Linked DNA regions of Caenorhabditis elegans. The protein of the gene in region 2 interacts with the protein of the main gene of each other region in a pairwise test. Each region holds a gene or a part of one and is shown on either strand. Other genes may lie near its edges.

Region 1 (7,507 bases), on a different chromosome or scaffold from region 2:
TCTTCTCTCTTTGGAAATTGCTATTTCGCAAGTTTAGTAACGATTTTATGACAGCAGCGGCGTCCGAATTTGAAATTGAATTAGGTCCCCTGAGAAGCTTTTTAGACTATAAACTACAATTCTGAAATGGCAGACCAATGAGAATTTGGTCTGCTAGACTACAAACTAGAGTCTGTGTTTAGCAGACCCATGAGCTTTTGAAGAGTTTTGGTCTGCTAGGCTACAAACTACAAGTCGTATTTAGCAGACCCAAATTATTAGAGTTTCGTATGGGTCTGCTGGACTACAAACTACAATTATTTAACAGACCAATCTTAAATTAAAAATTGACTGAATTTAGGGATTTTTTTTTCAGTTTTTAGCTCTCAAGACACTGTTTACAGCAGAAGAGAAGTACAATTCATTTTATTTTTAAAAAAAATGCTCAAAAATGGTTTTTCCCTTAAATTGGTCTGCTAGACTACAAACTACACAAAAGAATTAGACCCAAGCTGACGTGAGTTTTGGCCGATTTTTGAAAGTTTTATCATGTTTTGAATGAATTGTGCTGCTGTGTAACAGATAATTTTTCAAATATTCAGTTTTTGTCAACATTTTGCGAAAATTAGAGCTTCGAAATGGGCCCCCCAAATTGGTCTGCTAGACTACAAACTACATTTTGTATTTAGCAGACCAAAATCTTGAAGACCCCGCGAAAAGTTGTATTTTTTCTCCAATTTCCCCTTCCTTTTCCTAATTGAATTCCGTGCAATTCAGTGCCCCCCACCCGAAGCTTCTTCTCTTGTCTGACCTAATTTGATCTACCGGGATATCGGAGTGTCGTAGTGCTGCCACGTCATTTTTTTCTGTGTCTCCTTAAATACATACTAATTTTCAATTCTAGAGAATAGGAAATTTATGTAGACTATTAATATTAATGTTTAAATAAATTTATGAGGAGGGTTTTGTGTTTTGGGTCTGCTAGGCTACAAACTACGAAAATTTGTTTAGCAGACCCATTTTTTTTCGATTTTTCGATTTTTTTTTTACTTAAAACTACACTTTGTCTCGTTTTTTAGCGATAATTAAAAAGTTCTGACTCAATTTTCAAATTTCCGGGGTACTGTAGCGCCACAAGTACGCAAACACCGAGCATCTTACGACAAAATGCACAGAAACTTAAAATTGTCTGAAAAAGATGGACCAGGGGGTAAAAAAAGGCCCTGAGTTTGAATTTCATAATGAAAAATTGCTAAAATTCATAGAATTCAAGTCATTTTTTAGTTTCTAGTTATCAATTTTAAAAAGTATACGTTTTTTCTAAAATTCCGCTGTAAACTACAAACTACATTTTGCCACGTCATCGTTTTATGCCCCATATCCACGTATTCATTAGAAATTCTGTAATTCCTGAATTCATTTTGGCATGCATTCTATCTATAAAAAAGAAGATCGAGAAGAAGAAGAAAATGAAAAAATTCGGCGTCTTCATGTGCTCCTTAATCTATTCCAACATTTTTTTTTTGGTCTGCCAGACTACAAACTACAGATTTAGAACTAGCAGACCTAAGCTTCTTGCTCAAATTTGAAAATTTCCGAAAAAAATTGCAATTGTTTTTCCAAATTTCCCGTTTTTCGAGAATTTGAACAATTTTTCCCGCGTTTTCTGCACAATTTTGACGTTTTTGGGTTACTGTAGCGCCAAAAGTACGCAAACACCGAGTCTCTCACGCGAAAATGCACAGAATCTCAAAATCATCGGAAAAAACAGTCCCAGGGGTGAAATGAGGCGCTGAACTTGAATTTGACAGTTAAAATTATCAAAAAATACCTGAAAACATTGAAAATTCAATTTTTTTAGTTTTTTCTTTCAAAATTTCTTTTTCGGAAGATATATTCGCCTGGAAATAAATTATAGGGCTATATATTAAATTTCTAACATTTTTCTTATGTTTCCTGCTCAAATTTGTCTTTTGGGGGGTACTGTAGCCCCAAAAGTCCGCAAACACCGCACACCTTACGCGAAAATGCACAGAATCTCAAAATCCTCTGAAAAAAGTGTTCTAGGGGTGAAATGAGGTGCTGAGATCGAATTTCAATGTGAAAAATTATGAAAATCGTTGGATTTTGAGAAATTTTTTTGGTTTTTCGAAAAAAACCTGCACCTCCCCACCCCCCCCCCCCCCCCTCTTTCAGGGGGTACCCCTTAATCTATTCCCACTCATTACTACATCTTTTTTTTGCTCTCATTTTCTCTGCGTCTCTCACTTTCACATACTATCTCGTCGGGAGATTAGTGTGAAGAAGACGCTACCCTCAGAGAGCAGGAAATGCGCGGAATTTATTGGAAAATGTGTGTGCTCTCTCGATGAGGGAAATGGAGTGAAGAAAGGGGGGGGAGGAAATTGAGATAACATGTCAAAACTCGTGATATGATATAGCCAATAACATTGGTGAAAATTATAAGCCAGAAAAAAACATCGCAAAAAAAAATTTTTTTTAGCAATTTTTCCCGAAAATCTTTATTTATTCAATTTTCATCAATTTTTCATGCTAAAATTCGAACTCAGCACCTAATTTTACCCCTAATCCATCCTTTTCCGACAACTTTCGGTTTCTGTGCATTCTGTCGTAAGGTCCGGTGTTTGCGTACTTTTGGGGTTACCGTACCCCCGAAAAGTTGAGTTTTTGGCAAAATGTTTTTTTCTCGAAAATCTTTATTTTATCAAGATTTTTCCTGATTTTCATGTTAAAATTCAAACTCAGCACCTTATTTTATCCATACCACACCTGTTTCCGACATTTTTGAGATTCTGTGTTACCGTACCCCGCAAGACTTAAAAATTGAGCTAGAGACTCGGAAACAAGACTTTGGCTGGAAAATTTGACAAAAAATTCGTAGGGAACTTCAATTTTGATTTAAAAAAGTTTTTTTGGAATTTCGGGAAAAAAAAATTTTAGAAAATTTTTTTTCCAAACTTATTTTCTTTATTTTTCATTTTTCACTTTCTCAATTTTTCATCTAAAAATTCAAATTCAGGTCTTGATTTTACCCCTACCACGTCTTTTCCGGCAATTTTGAGTTTCTGTGCATTTTGTCGCAAGGTCCGGTGTTCGCGTACTTTTGAACCTACAGTACCCCCGCAATACTCGAAAATTGATCTAGAAACTCGGTAAAAAAGGCTTCGGCTGTAAAATTTGACGAAAAAATTGTTGAGAAGTTAAATTTTGGAAAAAAAAATTATTTTTGGAATTTCGGTGAAAAAAAATTTTTTTTTGGAATTTTTCAAGAACAAAAGTTTTGAAAATTTTCTGAATATTTTTTCCATGATCCCCTTTTTTGAGTTGTTTTTCAACGCAATTTTCTCTGCACTCTCTTCACTCTCTCATCCACTCCATTCATCATTTTTTCCAGCGCGCATGTCTGGAACAGAGATTCACTTTTATTTTTCCTTTTTTCTTTTTTTTTTTTTGCTCCAAAACTTCTTTTCCACTACTTGAAATTTTAAGTCTTAAAAATTTCAGCACAAAATGAGCGCATTTGAATGTCGAAAATGCGATGATTTTCCGATTGAGGAGAACACGGAGGACGAGGATGATGACGAGTGTCCGACGGTTATTCGGAGGGTAGGTTTTTTCAGGAAAACCGTTGATTTTTAAAGGTTTTAACTATAAAAATCAAATTCAGCAGCGTTTTTTTGCTCCTAAACCGGTTTTTTTGCAAAAAGCAACAAAAAAATTAAAAATTTTTTTTTTTTCAAAACTCGAAATTTTTCTCGAAAACCAGCAACTTTTAAAAATTTTCATATCAAAATTCAAATTCAGCGCCACTTTCTACCCCATTCCCAGCTTTTTCAGCCAATTTTAATTTTCTGTGCATTTTGTCGTAAGGTATGGTGCATCGATTTGTGTTTGCGTACTTTTGAGGCTACAGTAATTCCAAAAAACTTAAAATTGAGCCAGAAGTTTAGAGAAAAACTTATTAAGGGTGAAAAATTACGGAGAATCCGAATTTCTTAATAAAAATTGTGAAAAATTTCAAATTTCTACAAATTTTCCAGTAAAAAATTTTCTCGGCAAAAAAACGCAACTCATTTTTGGAATTTTTCACACCGAATTTCATTTTCAACACAATTTTTTACCCCTCAAACACCATTTTAAGTCAATTTCAAAGCATTCTGCATTTTGTCGTAAGGTGCAGTGTTTGCGTACTTCTGGAGCTACAGTAACCCAAAAAATTTCAAAAATGAGCTAGAAGCTCGAAAAAAAAAAGTTTCCAGGGTAAAAAATGTCGGGAACTCGATTTTCATATCGAAAAACCAAAAAGAAGCCTCTAAAACCTCCAAATTTCCTGAATTTTTTTCCAGTCCTACTCAGCCGACTGGCTGCACAACGACAATTCCTCTGGAGGTGATGACGATTCAGAAGAGGATTCTGACGCCGAATTTCTGGTTCATCCGTGTCTTCGGAGTATTATTAAATCGAAATCCGCTTACGCAGTTCCCCGTAACTCTGATGACGTTGCAGCGGCGGCAGCGATGAAAAATAACAGAATTAAGCCGAGCAAAACAAGCTTTGAGGTGAGCTGGATGAGGAGGTGGTGGTGAAGATGTAGTTTGTAGTCTTTGTAGTTTTTGTAGTTTGTAGTTTATAGTTTGTAGTCCGTCAGACCAATGTTTTTTAGTTTAAAATTGATTGAGTCTGCCATTTGCAGGTTCATAGTTTTGTGTGGTTAGATCTGTTATTTCGAAGTTGGTAATTTATAGTTTGTAGTTTATGGTTTGTAGTTTATAATTCGTAGTTTGTAGTTTGTAGTTTGTAGTCTGTAGTGTATAGTCCATCAGGCCAAAATTTGCAAGTTTAAAATTGATTGAGTCTGTCATATGTAGGTTAATAGTTTTGTTTGGCTAGATCTGCTATTTTGAAGTCAGAGATTTATAGTTGTAGTTTGTAGTTTGTAGTTTGTAGTTTGTAGTTTGTAGTTTCTAGTTTGTAGTTTGTAGTTTATAGTTTGTAGTTTATAACTTGTAGTTTGTAGTTTGTAGTTTGTAGTTTATAGTTTGTAGTCCGTCAGACCAATATTTGCCAGTTTCAAAATGATTTGATCTGCCAAATTTAAATTTTTTGTATATATTTTACAATTTATAGTTTATAGTTTGTAGTTTGTAGTCTAGCAGACCAGAACACCATTTTTCAGATTTCCTTATCAAAAATGATGGAATCAACGAGTAAAAGCATAGCGGAAGAAGCAGAATACTCAGTAGCCGACCTACTTCCGACACTTGATGAAAAATGGCCGGACCCTGAGGAAGAAAATGAAAATTTGAAGTCAAAGCGGCGGAAATCCAATATTATGAGGTGAAAATTCGAATTCTCCATCGTTTTTCACATGTTACCCGTTTTTTCTGGGTCTCTATCGTTAATTTTGAGACTTTTGGGGTACGGTAGCCCCAAAAGTCCGCAAACACCGTGAGCGTGACGCAAAAATGCACAGAAAAACTCCGATTTTGCTGAAAAAGTAGAGATATGGGTAGAAAATCATGCTGATATTGAGTTTTGGCATGAAAATTGTTGAAAAATCATTTTTATATCGCAAAAAAGGAACATTTTCCCTGTTAATCCAAATTTTCCCCCTTTGAAACATAAAAATTCGAATTCCTCACCATTTTTCACTTCTAGAATACTTTTTTTTGGAGTCCTAGCGTAAAATTTGAAAATTTGAGGTTACTGTAGCTTGAAAAGTGCGCAAACACCCAGCATCTTACGACAAATTGCAGAAAATCTTAAAATCGGCTGAAAAGGCGGGTTTAGGGGTAAAAAATGACGCTGAGCGTGAATTTTGATATGAAAAATGTTGAAAATATCTAGATTTTGTGAAAATTTGGAAAATTTGGTTCAGTATTGGTCTGCCAAAGTCCAGCATACTCTAAACTCAAATTTCCAGGTACTCCCCGAGCCTATGTGACTCTGATCTATCACTGAACCTCCATGATAAGGATTCTGAAGATGATGAGGATCGTATTCTAAACCGCCCGTCCGGATGTTGGTCCTCGCCGCCCAACTTCTTCGATGAAACATTTCGCGGTGTTTCTCCAATGAATCGTTAGTTTGTTTACTGTAGTTTGTAGTCTAGGCTTTACTATAAACTACAAAAATTGGTTGTGAAAAAATGTTTTGAAATATCAAAAAAAAAAAAGAAAAAAAATCGAATTTTTTCCCAAAAATTTCAAACGAAATCAAATTTTGACGTTAAAATTCAGATTCCTCGCATTTTTTCACCCTAGACCCATTTTTCCTGGTGTTTCCTGCTAAATTTTGATCATTTTGGGGTACTGTAGCCCCAATAGTACGCAAGTACGCAAACACCGAGCCCCTCACGCGAAAATGCACAGTTTTCTGGAATTGCGTAAAAAAGTTGGGGTAGGGGTGAAAAATGGTGCTGGAAACGAATTTAATAGTGAAAATGTTTTAAAATCGGCAGAAAATATAAAAATTTGAAGAAAATTTTAAAAGTTGTTTTTCAAAAAAAATTTTATCCAATTGTTTTGCACAAAATCAAATTATTAAGTGAAAATTCAGATTCCTCGAATTTTTTCACTCTAGCACCATTTTCCCCCGTGTTCTCTGCTCAATTTTGACCATTTTGGGTTACTGTAGCTCGAAAAGTACGCAAACACCGAGCCCCTCACGAGAAAATGCACAGTTTTCTACAATTGCGTAAAAAAGTTGGGGTAAGAGTAAAAAATGGCGCTGAAAACGAATTTTATAGTGAAAATGCTCGAAAATCAGCGGAAAATCCAGAAATTTTGAATTTTTTGAAATAAAAAAGTTTGAAGTTAAAAAAAAATTTCCAGAAAAGTGTTGGTCAGCACCGGATCTCGAGGATATTGTGTTCAAGACATGCAATGTGTTGTATAATTATGACGTCATCGGCGGCGGGAAAATTCCAATTTTGAGGGAGCTAATCGACGAGGACTCCATTGCAATTGGGTATCCAGTTATAGAAACACCTGATAATGGTATGTAGTTTGTAGTTTGTAGTTTGTAGTCTGCTAGATTACAAACTACAAATAAAATTTGAGTTCATGGCACATGTCCCCTTAGTTTTCTGGAAAACTTATTTGGGAAATTTTGAAATTTTGAAAATTAAAATTTTTTCCAAAAATTTGAATTTGCAGCCGACCGCATGGTGCAACTGCGCTCCACGGATAATTTTGCAATTTTTCGAATTTTCTGAAGGATTTTAAAGCTGTTTCACTGACAAATTCAAATTTTCCGCCAACCAGATCAATAAATAAGCAGTTTTCTCATTAGAGCACACTTGCAGCACGCGGTCGGCGGGAAATTTGAGTTTTCGGGTAAAAAAACGTGGTTTTTGCGAATTTTTGCACTAAATAAAAAAGCGAAAAATTTAATTCAATAAATTTTGTCAAAAGTCCCAAAAAAAATTCAAAAATTTTTTTTTTTTTTTTTCCAAATTTCAATTTTTTTTTGAAAAAACCTTCCAAACGACACTCCGACATTCCGT
Region 2 (7,455 bases):
CAGAAGTTTAGAGCTAATTTTTGAAAATGTTGTGGAATTGTAAAAAAAAATATAAAGTTGTAAAAATTCAAATTCCCGCCAACCCATGACTCTCCAAAGAATTCAATGATATCCACTATCTTCGCCAGAGACCCGACATCGATCCATCATCGGTTTTCAGTACGCGCCGCGCGTGTCCTTGAATCGCCGAATGTGTTATCTTTTCTGTACGTCTTCTTCTTATTCTTCTTCTTCTTTCGTCCCCCGCCATTCACCGTTTCCTCTTCATTTTTCTTATAGTTTTCTTCGGTTTTCGGTTTTTATTTCGATTTCCTGCCTTTGACTGCCGCCCTAAAATTCGTGTACTTTTAGATTTTATCTATCAGTTGACTAACTGTTTTGGGCGCGAAAATTTTTTGAATTTGCCTCTTAATCGCTTTAGGGGCTAATAAAATAAAATAAGTCACTGAAGTTAATTTTTCTACTGTGTAAGTTCCTTTAATATTTAATAATCTCATTACTTGCCAACCAACATTGCCAAAAACTTCCATATTGGTTATCACTTTTGCCTTCCGCATACACCTTCCAGGTTCGACTCCCCGTGCCTCACAATTTCCTTTTTTCGTATTCCTACATCCTGTAACTCAATAGAAATGTAGTCTGTAGTCTCCAGGTGTTTTTGTTTTCTTTCTTTTTCTTCAGCGCACTAATTGTGGTGTCTCCTTTGGTTAGTGAAATATAATAATAATAATACGACGATGATGATTTTAGTTCCTCTCTTTTTGAAGAGCTTATCCTTCTTTTCCGTGGGATTTCACAATGTTTCTCTAGTTTTTTGTTTCCAAAATTTTATCTGAAATTCTTTTGCGTTGGCCGAGCTGAATATAATCAATTTTTGAACTTAATTTGATGAAAAATTCAAGAAATTTGTTCCATGATCTTTCTAATCCAGCATAAAATCTGAATACTTGTTTATCAGTGCAGTCCTCTTTCCAAACGAAAAGATTAATCTCTGCTTGGCTCACGGAGCACAACGAAAAATGTGTCTTGATGAGAAATCGGGTTAGATGAGTGACGTCGCAAATACGAAACAATATGAGATTAATGAAAAAGCCCTCTATTGTTTCGTTTGGAGGGGATAAGGATAGAGTTTTACCCTTTTTTTGCTGTGAGGGACTTTTGGCCACACATATAGAGAATTTTGGGGCTTAACCTATAAACCTTACTATTAGGGCCACGGCCTAGGAAACGGGGCCCAGGGAGCTAGATTTTGGAACATGAATTTGTAAGCCTATGAGTCTAAGCTTAGGTGTCTAAACTTTCTGATCGGGACCTAAACATATGACCCTGGGGGCCTAAAATTTTAAAGCTAATAGTAAGCCTTTGAACCTAAGCATTGGGACTTTAACTTTTGGAGCTAATAAACCCCTTTACCGGGAACACCACTAGGGACGTTCTGGGAACACCACTAGGGAGGTACCTAAATGTTAAGAACTAAGCCTAGAGGCAAACTTCATGGCCTTAGCTTACAAGCCTTGGGACCAGGGAGCCAAGCCTATAGATCTAAGCCTAGGGTCTTAAGTTTCGGACTCTAAATCTGAAATTCAAACTTACGAGAAATTGAGCAAAAAGTGTTGTCAATTTAAACCCTTTTTCAATTTAATCATCAATATTTGCCCCGACCTCTGGAAATATCACAATACCACCAATCCGGCGCCCCAACTCCTCCTTTATTTCTCAGTTAGCCCCCCCCCCCCTACTGTTTGCCGAGTAACAATTCTCTGCGTCTTGCAAATTCCCAAAACTTCATTGTACATACACATATCACTATCATAATCATCACACACTAATTATGAAAGAGAATAGGCGCCGCGCTTATCAGTTGGCGGCGGGAGGCCGAATTCTCCTTCGTCGCCTAAAAAGAGAGGGTTTTGTCGAATAGTTTTGTTTTATTTTCGTATTTTCTTTGCGTTGGTTGGAATTTAAAACAAACTTTTGATGGCGTCATTGTTGCTTTGGATCATTTCTTTGTCATGTTTTTGTGATGATAACCTGTGTTTGGGTTGAAAAAAAATCGACTTTTCCAGGTTTTTGTTGACTTAGAGACTTTGTGAGGTCTCACTTTTTGAAATTGATAGAGTGCCACTTCCAGACCCCCTAAAACTTCCAGCAAAGCCGCTGGGTAAAAATTCTACTCGGATCATAGAACGATAACATTTTCTTCAAGTTGTCTTTTTTGATCCATCCGTTTTCGCCATTTTTTTGTTTCTGAACCTCGGAAGCTTAAAAAATTCTAATTTTCCTGAAAACCCTGTTTCGAACGACCTAAGTAAGCTTCAAATGTCAGAAGTCCCTAGGTGCAGCTCCAGAAGGCTTAGGTTCTTAGGCTTAGCTTCCTAATTGTTCGCCCTCAAGGTAGGAATTTTTGGAATATTTTGTTCAGGACATCTAATAACACTTTTTGATTTTATTTAGATCACCTTAGATTGCATACTGCTCCATTGCCCGAACCTAGAAAAAAATCCTTGTCCGAACAAAGGCCTTAAATTGTTAAGCTAGCTTTATCTTTTGAATTTCTCAGATTTTTCAAAACCGAATTTTGATCTCCCTCATCTTTTAATCTTCTTCTAATCAAATCAAGCCCATCAAACTGTTCAAAAAAAAAGATCTCTGGCCACCTCCTCCGAATACAGTTTGTTGTGTTCTTCTTATTTTTCTCGACCTAATCTCTGATGTCTTAACTATATGGACCGTTACTATCTTGTAATTAGGATGGGGCCAATGATTTTGTTTAGGAGTTTAGTATTCTAGGATTCCAGCTACGCAGACAGCTAGCCACCCCCAACTGCCCTTAAGTAGCCTAATCGCCATTGTCTCGACAAGAACTTGGCAGGAGGTGGGGGACACAGTAATAAACGAAATGATCGGTGGTGGAGGCTGTGAGAGAAAGAGATAGGGGCGGGCGCGTGTGCGCCCGTGTGCCCCATCTCTCGCGCCTCTCGCTCGATCCTTTGGGGAGGGGCTGCTGTTGCTGGCGACGACCTCTTGATATGTCACATTGTGTCTGCCGCTCTCTCGCCTCGTCCTCTCGTATCACCTCGGTCTCCCGCGACCCCTTTGGGCGCCTCTCTCCCGACCCTTCCACTCGGTTTCTTCTCTTGTCTTTCGCTCTTTTCCCTCTCCCCCTTTCGAATTTTTTTCCTTTTTTTCTACCAACCAATATACCTTTTTATCGATTGATTTTTTTTTAATTCTCAGATCCCGATACTGAAAAAAAAAATCAGCGAATAAGAGCATTCATGATCCGCCAACTAAATTCACCAGGCGGTGGCGGCGGCCTCGGATTGAACAATCCGAGAGCCCAGCAGCCACCGGGTGCTCAACAGCAGCAGCAACCACAACAAGCCCAGCAACAGTTCTACGATGACGAGCCATATCAGGCTAACGCGTCGCAGTTTCGATTTGGCGCCGGCAAAAGTGTAAGGGCTAATAATTTTCTAGGTTCAGGTTTAGGCCAACGACATTTGGTCTTTACACCCTTCAAATAGCCCCGTTTCTTATCAGCTCTCTTTCCCCCCGCTTTTAGTTTCCTGCTCCGGGCACCCAACTTCCTTCCGGGACACTTGAGTAGCCTAACTCACCAGAACTTTGTCTTGAAATTCGCTCAAGATAAGACCCCCATCTGACGATTGATTGACCGGTCATGTGTGGTGACAATACACAAAAAGAGAAAAGAAACAAGAGAGCGAATGAGACTTGATTGTTTTGTAGTTTGTGGTTTCGGCGGTCCGTTTGGGCTTGACACAGGCTTCTAGTTTCAGTCCTATCAACGTTCTTTGAGCTGATATCAGTTTTGACCTACTTTATCAATTTACCAATCGCATTACCATTTTCATTGCGAGCCAAAACTCGCATTAAAAATTTACAAACCTCGCTTAAAATTGTACTTTGCTCTCTTCGCCCATTTTCTAAGCTTGATCCGATTTCAATTTCAAATCACAAATCGAATTTCAAACTCAGTTTTCTCATCTCTCGACGCCAATTGTCATCACTTTGGGGCCGGCGAGGCGGTGGCGACAGGGGCAGCTAATTTATCAAGTAACAGGGCTGCTCAGTTTTCTGATCGGCTTTGATTTCCCTATCTCCCAAATTAGAGAGATATAGACACAATGTTTTTGGCACACTGCCAACTTCCCGCCCGCCGCCGCCGCCAATATAGTAGTAGTAAACAAAGCAGAGCGCTCATGGTGCATCAACGACCGAAATTTAGTAGTTATCTTTCCATAATGATTTCTATCTCTTTTCTTATTTTGTATTTTGAGATGGAACAACGTCGAGAGACGGGAAATCTGATTCCAATCGCACAACGATCGATGGGCTCGACGTCGACACCGTTCGGCTCAGCGCCTACACAGAGCTACTTTGGCGGAGGGAGCAGTGGAGCGGCATTAAGTAGTCCAAGGAAGATGCAGCAGACGCATCAGATGTTGTTCGGCAATATTCAACCGGTTAGTTTCAAATTTTATTAAAAGAAAATTTTTGTTTTCTTACATTGTTTGAGCTCAAAGTCTCTACAGAAATAAAACAAAAAACGAAACAAAATACTGCATTCTAACATAATTTTTAACGATTTTATGGAAAGTTTAAAGGTAGTTTACAAGTTTTTTTTACCCAGCTCAATTAATAGTAAGAAAAAAAGCAGAATTTTTGGAATTTTTTTCTTATGAAAAAAAGTGGGCCTGAAAGGGCTCCCCGGTAACTAAATTGTTTTGTGGTTCTTTTTTTTTAATCTGTGTAAAAGTACCTTTTTCAAGAGTTGGGGTTTCTTGGCTCAAAATAAGCTTAAACCCTGCTCTTCTTCGCTTAAAGGCGTAGGCACACAATTAAATTGCTCGACATTATAGATCTTCAAACTTTACGTAAAAATTTCTTCCAACTTGCTCCCCTGAAACTGATATCTTTTCATTTTTCTTGTAGATCTCCCTTTTTTGGCATCTGTTGTTAGCCTAACGTCGTAGGGTCAAATTATAGAAGTTTGAATTTTTACAAAAAAATTGTTCTTGATTGGCTTTAACAATATGACCCCCCCCCCTGAGCCATGTATTTGTTTTCAAGCACTTTTGCGCCACGGCGCCCATTCCATATTTTTCCTTCCACATTCTGCGGTCTCTCCCACTCCCAGATGACTCCACCCTAGACGGAACAGCTGAAAAACGAAAAACGGGCGCTGAAAAAATCTTGCGTTTGGCACGTAGCCCCCCCCCCCCCCGGGTCTCTGTCTGCCTCTTGGACAGTGTCACGTGGTGTTCGGCTAGCTTCTCTCGGCGTCCGGTTGTTTTTACACTCTCCGATGGTCTCTGACGTGTGGTAGTGGTGGTGGATAGGACTGAGAAGACAATGAGATGTTTGAGTTGAACTTTCAAGTTGATTGGTTGGGTAGGGAGGGGGCTGTATGTGGACTAAAAGGTCGAATAGGACCCTAGCTATCAACAGCGCATCAAATAAAATTTGACTTTATGATACGAGTCTGTACCATTTGACTAGCTCATTACAAAAACCCACGAAGCTAACTCCAAGTTCCCGGTATTTCGTTTGAAACTTTTTTGCCAAACTTCGATGCTCGTAGAATTTATCCAAAACCAAATTTTCTGAGATTATTAATTTTTCAATGTTTAGGCCAAGCTTTTTGAAACTTTTTCTGAAAAAAGCAGAGTTTTTTTTTCGATTATTTCGAAATCCGTCGAATTTTTCATAATCGGATTTTCCCAGATTTATAACGCATTCTCAAAGCTTTTTGGAAATTTTTAGGACTTTTTCTCCCCATTTTGTCAGTGCATTTTCGCTAGTTTCAAGTCCCGTAGAATTTCTCCAAAACCAAATTTTGAGAGATTTTCAATGTTTTAAAGCATGAGGAAAACTAGGCAAATATTCTGGAAGCTTTTTGGAAAAAAAAACATCTTACAAAAAAAAATTGAAATTTCTCGGAACCTGGGATCTTTTTTTTTTCACAATCAGTACATTTTCCCCCTAATTTTGAAACCTGTAGAATTCAGGGAAAATCTGATTTTCATAGAATTCTAATGTATTTAAGAACGTTGAGAACTTAACTTTTTTCTAGAAATTTTTTCGACCATTAGAGTTTGTTTCCCAGGAATTCGAAACTTGTACAAATTTCGTTATCACTCTTTATTTGAACTATTTTTCTAAAATTGTGAAGTCCTAATTATTAGTGTTGTACGTTTGAATCCGGATTCGTTTTCGCATTGAGACCCAATTTAGTTCAATTCAGAGCTTCATTACTTGCTGAGACTGATCCCTTGGTAAGCATAATGCTCATTAGCCAAAAGTTCAACTGTACTACTCCTGCTCACCTATCCCTTTCCTAAAAACTTCTATTGTTGTTGTTGTTGTTATCCTGGTTCAAAAACCTTTCTCCCTTTTTCTCCCGCGTCTCTTCTTCCTCCATAGCATTTTAGTCATTTTCCCGCCAAATTTTTTGTTTTCGCCGACCAATCACCGCTCAAAAACCAAAAAACTTCCTCGCTTCAAACAACATCAACAATTGGAAAAACAGTAAGATGACGTCATTTTGATTTTCTACACTACTCGACAGTTGTCGCTTCACCCTAAAAACAAGACCATTACTCAATACACGCGATACGACCTTGTGGCAAAGATCAGATTTCAAAGTCTGTCTGGACGGCGGCAGGAAATTGTCCGGCTGTCTGGAGTACTTGGATCACTCTGTAGTCAGTTTGTAGTAGTTTAAATACATTTTGCTACATTACTTGAATAACCCCATTAAAGAAAAAATTTCTCTCCATTCCGTTCCCTATCAATTCGGCAGAAAATGTACTTCTGAACAATTAAAGAAAAAAGACGAAGTAACAAAATAGAAAAGAACGAAAGATAAGAATCATCATCCTCACACAGTCAGCTGATCGCAAGACGAACCGAACCTTGAGAAACGAAAAAAGCGTCGAAAAAAAAACGAAATGTTTGTTTACCTGGCCGGGTGCCAAAAAACCCCTCTCTCGCACAGACCCACACTATCTCGCCGCGTATTGGCACGGCGCCAGACGGCCAGACAGTGCGCGAAAGTGAGAGAGCACTGCAGACATTCTTTGAGCGAGAGACCCGCGAAAGTGATCATTGGCGGTTTTGGTTTTTGGGACGACGCGGGGGGGAGGGGGGAGCTAATTTATTTGAAATCGTCCTGATCAGAAATTGGCCAGCTAGACTCTACGGGATTAGTCAGAGAATGGTGGTTTTTTGAAACATTAAACAAGGATGGTACTTCTTAAATTTTGCTATGAGGCTACATTTTGATTTTTTTTGGAAATTCGGAAAAGATTTTAGACCGATATAAAAAATTTTGCCGTATTTGTATATAAGAAAACTTTGAAAAAAGTTTTTTTTGAAGTTTTGAGGCTCCCTAAAATTGCTCCAAAAATGATTTTTTGCAGCCTTTTAAAG

What was found. Proteins that work in one complex are often made in the same cells at the same time.
Region 1: the proteins of hlh-30 (region 2) and jip-1 interact in a two-hybrid assay, tested with the Caenorhabditis elegans proteins (one large-scale study listed by BioGRID).

Annotation. Positions count from the first base shown.
Region 1 is NC_003280.10:1,323,491-1,330,997, forward strand, and holds the start of jip-1 (PID domain-containing protein), read left to right. Parts: upstream 1-3,504; 5' UTR 3,505-3,510; coding exon 3,511-3,606; intron 3,607-4,346; coding exon 4,347-4,559; intron 4,560-5,176; coding exon 5,177-5,337; intron 5,338-5,923; coding exon 5,924-6,081; intron 6,082-6,833; coding exon 6,834-6,998; intron 6,999-7,507.
Region 2 is NC_003282.8:4,023,910-4,031,364, reverse strand, and holds the start of hlh-30 (Helix-loop-helix protein 30), read left to right. Parts: upstream 1-3,237; 5' UTR 3,238-3,278; coding exon 3,279-3,458; intron 3,459-3,553; exon of another isoform or gene 3,554-3,637; intron 3,638-4,301; coding exon 4,302-4,487; intron 4,488-7,455.